Drosophila melanogaster: one gene and its partner. The protein of the gene in region 1 interacts with the protein of each later gene in a pairwise test. Each region holds a gene or a part of one and is shown in the gene's direction. Other genes may lie near its edges.

Region 1 (4,021 bases):
GGTATATAAAATTATAAAGGAATGTGGGCAGCTGGGCGACACTCATCACGGAGCACGGCTCGTCGGCGGCCTTCAGCAGGATGTTGTAGACCTCGACATTGGGTTCTGGATAGGTGCTAACTATGTCCTTGCGCAATTGGTGGTACCATTCCACAAAGATCTGGTGCTGCAGCTGCAGAAACCCCTCGCGAATATATATATCCTGCTGCTTATCGTGCTTGGCCCGATCCCGTCCGGGATTAATGCGACCCGAACAGCGGGTTATCCACAGGCGATCCTCGGTGAGGAACGGAGCGATCGTGCGGAACTCGCTGGGAAACCGAATCGAGATGGACAGAGTCAAAGGAGTGCCGTCATCGCGCAGATCATTGAAAACAATGCCCGCCAGGGTAGTCCGCTCATCGAACTGATTTTGCATTTCGGACTCGCTCTCGTAGCCCACGGTTGAGCTCAGTTCCAGCGTTTTGGCCACATTCTTGGTCACCTCCGATGTAAACGTCGTTTCCGGCGTGAAGGCCAGGATGTACTTGGTTTTCTCCCGCTTCGAGTCTGCCATGCGTCTGCGGAAGGTAACAAAACCATATAAATAGGTAGGAGCATTAAGTTGCGCCTTTGGATGGCGCTACATTCAAAAGGTTGTAGGTGAATACTATGCACTTACGTCAATATATTTATGTCCTGCAGTTTGTGGGACACGATGCTCTGCTCGTTTTCGTTCTCGGTGGTCGTGTATAGAAGCCTTTTGGAGTGAGCGATGGGGTTGAGAAAGATCACTAGGACCATTATCACTAGGGCGACGATCTCGAAGAGCGTCCGCCGCCACAGATTTAACTCGATGCGGATGTAGCGCTTGAAAAGAAGACCCTTGCTGGCCGGCATTTTACAATTTAAAATATAAATTTAACAAACGACAGAAATTGGTTGGCGGGTCTGCACTCCCGCACAAAACGGATGGTTTGAGTGTGAGAAGTTTGATTTTCGGCAGGGGATTTTGAAAATATTCTTATTTTGCCTTAAAACATACCAGTACTTTGTTCTCAAAGCACATTTTGATGACTATTTCAGACTACGCATTTACATGCCCAATGTTTTGAAATTTTCATAGATAATATTGAACACCTTCAAGCTTAGAATTTGTCACATTAAGTATTCACAATTAATTAGAAATACATTACATTTTTTTCATTAGCAGCGGTATTAGGCTAATTCAAGTTCATTACTTAAAAATCGCTGGTGCTACGCAAAAACAAGAGAGAACACAATGTATTTTACCACGAATCAGAGAGAAACCTATAGTCGAGTTCCCCGACTATCAGATAACCGTTACTCAGAGAAATATCATCATTTTTCTGTCTAGAAATTGGTAAATAAATTGAAAAAATGTATCGGTTTTGGCATGTCGAAAGAAATTTACAAGACTAATATAAAAATAAAATATTAAGACATTTTTTAAAAAAGTGGGCGTGGCAGTTTTGGGTGGTTTGGGTCAACAAACTAGCGCTGTCTCCAGAATCTGTATGCTTAATCTCAACCTTCTAGCTTTTAAACTTCCTAAGATCTTGAAGTTTATGCGGACGGACAGACGAACAGGGCCAAATCGACTCGGCTATTGATCCTGATCAAGAATATATAAACTTTATATGGTCGGACACGCTTCCTTCTACCTGTTACATACTTTTCAACGTATCTAGTACACTCCATTTACTCTACGACGGGTATAATCCTACGAGTAAGGTCGTGTTTTGTTATATTTAATTTTAATTGTTTACTGGACACATTTAATTCGAAAACCTTAGCTAGGTTTTTTACCACCTAGCGTTTTTATCGATGCCGATTGCTCGATGGCATCGATATTCCGAATGCAGTGCGATAACCGGCATGTGTCATCTCGAAAAGCAAATGCAGAGTCATACAATAAAGAGGAATTAATTCGACATCTTGCATTGTGGTCCTTCAGTTCGACAAATAATAACAAATTAAAGTGTAAACAGAAAACGAAAGATGACGGTGACGAATCGGGTATGTACATTTGATTCCCCCAGCTCTTCCACCGCGAAAAACCAATGCTCCATGTTTTCGCAGATGGAAATCGAGTCGGCCTACCATAAAGGCGAGGGATTCCGGTCCTACTACATCCAAAAGATCGAGGAACTGCAGCTGGTGGTGGCCGAGAAGCACCAGAATTTGAGACGACTGCAGGCCCAGCGCAATGAGCTCAATGCTAAAGGTAAATTTACTGTTACACATATGTAGATAATGTGCATAGTTGGTTAGCTGTAGGATATAGAAAACATATAAGACTTGTTCTTGGTCTTAATATCAAAAAATCTTTAAATTTGAGAAAGCAATCCTAATTAGCACGTCTTTTGCAGTTCGGATGCTGCGGGAGGAGCTGCAGCTGCTCCAGGAACAGGGTAGCTATGTGGGCGAGGTTGTGAAGCCCATGGACAAGAAGAAAGTGCTGGTCAAGGTGCATCCCGAGGGCAAGTTCGTCGTCGATCTGGACAAAAACATAGATATCAACGACGTAACCCCCAATTGCCGCGTGGCCCTGCGCAATGAGAGCTATACGCTGCACAAGATTCTGCCCAATAAGGTGGATCCGCTGGTCTCGCTTATGATGGTTGAAAAAGTTCCTGACTCCACATACGAAATGGTTGGCGGCCTGGACAAACAGATTAAAGAGATCAAGGAGGTGATTGAGTTGCCCGTAAAGCATCCAGAGCTGTTTGATGCCTTGGGTATTGCCCAGCCGAAGGGAGTGCTCCTTTATGGACCTCCAGGTACAGGAAAGACTTTGCTGGCCAGGGCCGTTGCCCATCACACCGAGTGCACCTTCATTCGCGTCTCTGGCTCAGAGCTGGTCCAGAAATTCATCGGCGAGGGTTCGCGCATGGTTCGAGAACTCTTTGTAATGGCCCGGGAACATGCACCATCAATTATTTTCATGGACGAAATCGATTCCATTGGCTCGTCGCGTATTGAGTCAGGTTCCGGCGGCGATTCCGAGGTGCAGCGTACTATGCTGGAGCTACTTAACCAGCTGGACGGCTTTGAGGCCACCAAGAACATCAAGGTGATCATGGCCACCAATCGCATTGACATCCTGGATCCCGCTCTGCTGCGTCCCGGCCGTATTGATCGCAAGATCGAGTTCCCGCCACCAAACGAGGAGGCGCGTCTGGACATCTTGAAGATCCACTCCCGTAAGATGAACCTCACGCGTGGCATTAATCTGCGCAAGATCGCCGAGCTAATGCCAGGCGCATCAGGTGCGGAAGTCAAGGGCGTCTGCACGGAGGCCGGCATGTATGCGCTGCGCGAACGACGCGTCCATGTCACCCAGGAGGACTTCGAGATGGCTGTGGCCAAGGTGATGCAGAAGGACTCGGAGAAGAACATGTCTATCAAGAAGCTGTGGAAGTAGGCGTTGATCGGCCATTGCAAAAGAACCCTTATATTATTTTCAATAAATACATCAGTTAGTAACATAAATGCATTATTGTGTCATTGGATTTACTCCTTAGTCAGTACGCACAACCCAATTATGATCTTCACAGATAACTTTCGTTCAATGATATCTGAAGAATTGAATAGATTATCAGATTACAGTAGCAGCTTTGTAAAAAGTACATTGCAGTGTTTTCAACTGGCTGCTTGATCAGAACAAAAAAAGAGAGGTTATCCATCTCTTTCTTTTTTATGTTTTTTCGATCTCAATGATTCCTAAAAATCCGAAAGGAAAGTACTTCCAAAATTACATTTATGTATGTATGTTTATTATAGTTCCAAAGAACTTACAGGGGACTTGTCGGAGATTTACAATGGTTCACAACACCTTGCTGTTTTTAAAGCAAATGAGCACCGAACAACTTAAGATTTTGACATTAGGACGCGGATCCAGCGAGTCGTTCCCGTTCCGTTTGAAGCACCTGGCAGATCTGCTCATCGTCAGCCACGTCGTAACAAGTCTGTCCATCTGAATCGCGTAGCTCCAGGCTGGCGTGTAGCTCCAACAGGC
Region 2 (4,662 bases), on another chromosome or scaffold:
AATACAATAACAAACTTTGCACTAGTGTGTGTACACTTTTTGGGGCTGCTGATAAAAGCAACAACAACAAACAAAACACACACACACACCCAAACGCTTGCGAAATGTACATACGTGACTGAGAATCGTTTATTTGTACCTATTTGTATAGCTAACACCTCTGCCTCGGCCCTATCAATATACGCAGGACACCGCTGTTGACTAGTGGTTGGCTGCAAGGCGTTTATTAAACTGAATCCACGTAATGTTTAATGATATTTGGATTTCTTGTCGCGCAATTGTTTTTGCTCTGTTTTGCACACACACCAGCACCCACACAAAGGCAAGTGGGACAGCAACAGAGCAGAGCGAACCAGGGAGTGCTAATCGAGAGCAGAGTTGCATGCGCCAGTGCTGGAAAGGGCTGCGTCTGCACCTGAGCTGCATACATATTGAAAATCATTCACTTGCATTCAGGATAAGCATCTACCACGAAACTAATAAAACTAAATGCCATTGTTAGTTATTTTAGAGTAAAACATTATGCAAACGATTATATACATTACTATAAGTTTTATTTAAAAAATGAAATAAGTCTGTAAAGTAATTGCGGCAGTGTTTTAGTTCCGAAAAGCGAACCACCGAATCGTGAGCACGAGCCAGCATAGTCTGCATCCCTGGATAGGTGTTCAGTGTTTGCCAGCCCTGGTCAGGTCTGGTTCACCAAAAAAGAAAATAAAATTACATTTCAATCTTTCCAATATGCAAATATCTGCACGAAAACCAGCGAGAACAGCATGCTCACAATAAAGAGCCCCCAAACAATGTGACTCGTATCCGCGCAGAGTGACGTTTCGTGCCTTGCCCGAGTGCCAAATCCAAATCCCAATCCAGGCGCACAAAATCGATGCAGATGCTGTCTGCATTCTCATAGAAAGTGCAACTGAATAACCGATGGTCGCCAAAAGCCACGATGTCCAGTAATAATGACCAGTGAATAAACAATTATGACTCGAGCATCGAAAAATGCTGAGGAACGAATACATAAGCAATAACAAGAAGGTGCTCAACTCGGACCAAAACAAGTACTACATGCTAACGGTCGAGGAGGCCGATATGTATTGACGTTGTTACAGTGGAGCTGATTACACAAAAGATCCTCAGAACGATTTTATGTAAGTATGTAAACAGAGGCGGACAGGCCCACCTTGGGCCGCAATCACAATCTTCTGGCTTCGGCTTCCCTTGGGCTGATAAGAGCAGAGTGCTTAGTGCTGCTTATCTTTCATCTGCAACCTGGCCGATGTCGTCCGCCGTCTACTTACTACACCACTACTGCCCCCCATTGTCTTTGCTAGCGCGCGTTTTATACCCTGACACAGAGTTGACTGGGTGCAGCAACACACTAATTGTAGGAGCTTTACGATAGTAGGGATATATGACCATTTCCTGGCAGACAGATTATGTATATTGTATATGACTAGTCTAAATATAGACTCGTGTTCAGTGCCTAGCTGATAATGAGGTCAGAGTGCTGGCATTCCAATTGGTTGCCAATTGTTAGGGTATTAAAGCTTCGCTTCCACCACTGTCCCTTTTCGATTTTATTTTACTTCGCTTTTGCCTAATCAATGTCAGCACTGTGCGTCGTGATTTGTAGTACCTTCAGCTGGAAGGTACTCCACGCACAGTGCTGTTATCGCACTCACGGCGCGCGGTTCGGATTTCAGTTCATTTCTGTCCCGTACTTTTCCACGACCACCGATGAAGTTCTACGCGGGAGAAGGGTAAGCTATAGAGCTTGCATACGTTCACTTGTGAATCCGAGGATCGCATTCGAATTGCACTGGACGGACCGCCGTTTGTTTTGGTTTTTGCGCGGCTTAATTACAATTACGTTTTGCATTCATTAAGAATTCCGTGACCAGGTTTCATGCGACTAGCCCAGCACTGTGGGCTCCAATGGCACTACTCATTCATAAGTCCAGATAACAGCGTTGGAATTGTAAAGTACCCGTTTTTGGGTTCTATGTTTACCACTGTGCAGCGCGTTCTATTTGACATTAAACTAAAGCGATCTTTATCGCGGTGATTTGGCGAAATTGAACGTTTTTCCCACATTTCAACTCTTTACTTGTTCATTTCTCTCCGCATTTTGGGTTGATCCTCATATCGTACCATATCGTTTATCCTAAACCTTGTATCTCGAGTCCTCTATCTAATCAATCATTTTCTTGAAGTTCAAATCAAAGGCTTTAACTTGTTGAAACATATTTCTTATTTTATCCGCAACTCTTTTTTTCTCACCCAGCCAAGGCACGAACATGTCCGACGGCGTCAGCATCTTGCACATCAAACAGGAGGTGGACACTCCATCGGCGTCCTGCTTTAGTCCCAGCTCCAAGTCAACGGCCACGCAGAGTGGCACAAACGGCCTGAAATCCTCGCCCTCGGTTTCGCCGGAAAGGCAGCTCTGCAGCTCGACGACCTCTCTATCCTGCGATTTGCACAATGTATCCTTAAGCAATGATGGCGATAGTCTGAAAGGAAGTGGTACAAGTGGCGGCAATGGCGGAGGAGGAGGTGGTGGTACGAGTGGTGGAAATGCGACCAATGCGAGTGCCGGAGCTGGATCGGGATCCGTCAGGGACGAGCTCCGCCGATTGTGTTTGGTTTGTGGCGATGTGGCCAGTGGATTCCACTATGGTGTGGCGAGTTGTGAGGCTTGCAAAGCGTTCTTTAAACGCACCATCCAAGGCAACATCGAGTACACGTGTCCGGCGAACAACGAGTGTGAGATTAACAAGCGGAGACGCAAGGCCTGCCAAGCGTGTCGCTTCCAGAAATGTCTACTAATGGGCATGCTCAAGGTAATTTCATAGTCCCGAGTTAAAGTTCCTAAACTCTAATCGCTTTAACTTTTCAGGAGGGTGTGCGCTTGGATCGAGTTCGTGGAGGACGGCAGAAGTACCGAAGGAATCCTGTATCAAACTCTTACCAGACTATGCAGCTGCTATACCAATCCAACACCACCTCGCTGTGCGATGTCAAGATACTGGAGGTGCTCAATTCATATGAGCCGGATGCCTTGAGCGTCCAAACGCCGCCGCCGCAAGTCCACACGACTAGCATAACTAATGATGAGGCCTCATCCTCCTCGGGCAGCATAAAACTGGAGTCCAGCGTTGTTACGCCCAATGGGACTTGCATTTTCCAAAACAACAACAACAATGATCCCAATGAGATACTAAGCGTCCTTAGTGATATTTACGACAAGGAATTGGTCAGCGTCATTGGCTGGGCCAAGCAGATACCTGGCTTTATAGATCTGCCACTTAACGACCAGATGAAGCTTCTCCAGGTGTCGTGGGCAGAGATCCTGACGCTCCAGCTGACCTTCCGGTCCCTACCGTTCAATGGCAAGTTATGCTTCGCCACGGATGTCTGGATGGATGAACATTTGGCCAAGGAGTGCGGTTACACGGAGTTCTACTACCACTGCGTCCAGATCGCACAGCGCATGGAAAGAATATCGCCACGAAGGGAGGAGTACTACTTGCTAAAGGCGCTCCTGCTGGCCAACTGCGACATTCTGCTGGATGATCAGAGTTCCCTGCGCGCATTTCGTGATACGATTCTTAATTCTCTAAACGATGTGGTCTACTTGCTGCGTCATTCGTCGGCCGTGTCGCATCAGCAACAATTGCTGCTTTTGCTGCCTTCGCTGCGGCAGGCGGATGATATCCTGCGAAGATTTTGGCGTGGAATTGCACGCGATGAAGTCATTACCATGAAGAAACTGTTCCTCGAGATGCTCGAGCCGCTGGCCAGGTGAAAAGGATTATGCGGGCGCCCAAACTAGTTGATCTAGCTGATAAGCAAAGGTGCAAATATAGTCTTAGGTATATATGGATGTATACTAGAGTAGATTAAGCGTAGGATAAGCCATGTATATAAATAGTAAAATACTTGTCGGGTAAGATTAGTTCGCAGAAAAAATCTCTTTTAATGGACTACCAACTACAGCAACTGGAAAACCCTACTTATCTTCTAGAATCGGGGTGTGCTTACACTGGTTAAAGGCGCATATAGGTGTTATGTGTCTAAAGTTGTGAGTCACAGATCTTCAATAATTTGTTCAATTCTCACTGGTTCTGATATATGTATATGCCGCAACCTTCTGATGTAACGTATGAATTTGTGGGCACTTTTAAAATACGATAGTGGTTCTACAATACAATGGATTATACTGTTTCTAAGTGTCATGTAACCCAGTGATTCTGTGTCTATGTGGTACACATGCGGTCAAAAGAATAGCAATGTCGTCCGTGAATAATAAACCGTTTGTAACTGTTGTTTCCATACTCCCTAAGTTCTGTATTCTTTGGGGATTTTCTTTTCCTAAACAAATTCAAATTAGTTTTCTAGAATTCAGTGCATTTGATCGCATTTATACATCACTATTTCCTAATCCATACATAGGCTGATATATCGCAAAACTTCAAAAAATTAACCATGACAAAGGTATTCTGTGGTCCTTGAGGGCTTACAATTAGTGCTAACGATGGTCATATTTACATTTGCAGACTAGAGACGTTCCATCATCACCAATTAGAGCTAAGCCCAATTAATTCTACGGTGTATGTGTATCAAAGTACTTGTTGGAGCTTTCCTGAAAGCGAT

The links.
Region 2: the proteins of Rpt6 (region 1) and ERR interact in a two-hybrid assay, tested with the Drosophila melanogaster proteins (2 studies listed by BioGRID).

Annotation. Positions count from the first base shown.
Region 1 is NC_004354.4:21,314,177-21,318,197, forward strand, and holds Rpt6 (regulatory particle triple-A ATPase 6), read left to right. Parts: upstream 1-1,875; 5' UTR 1,876-2,001; coding exon 2,002-2,019; intron 2,020-2,082; coding exon 2,083-2,227; intron 2,228-2,372; coding exon 2,373-3,427; 3' UTR 3,428-3,487; downstream 3,488-4,021. Other genes in the region: CG1801 (uncharacterized protein), read right to left, coding at 1-560, 662-879; anox (anorexia), read right to left, coding at 3,888-4,021.
Region 2 is NT_037436.4:8,182,671-8,187,332, reverse strand, and holds ERR (estrogen-related receptor), read left to right. Parts: upstream 1-1,662; 5' UTR 1,663-1,743; coding exon 1,744-1,766; intron 1,767-2,111; exon of another isoform or gene 2,112-2,290; coding exon 2,291-2,849; exon of another isoform or gene 2,850-2,905; coding exon 2,906-3,814; 3' UTR 3,815-3,972; downstream 3,973-4,662. Other genes in the region: Uxs (UDP-xylose synthase), read right to left, coding at 4,613-4,662.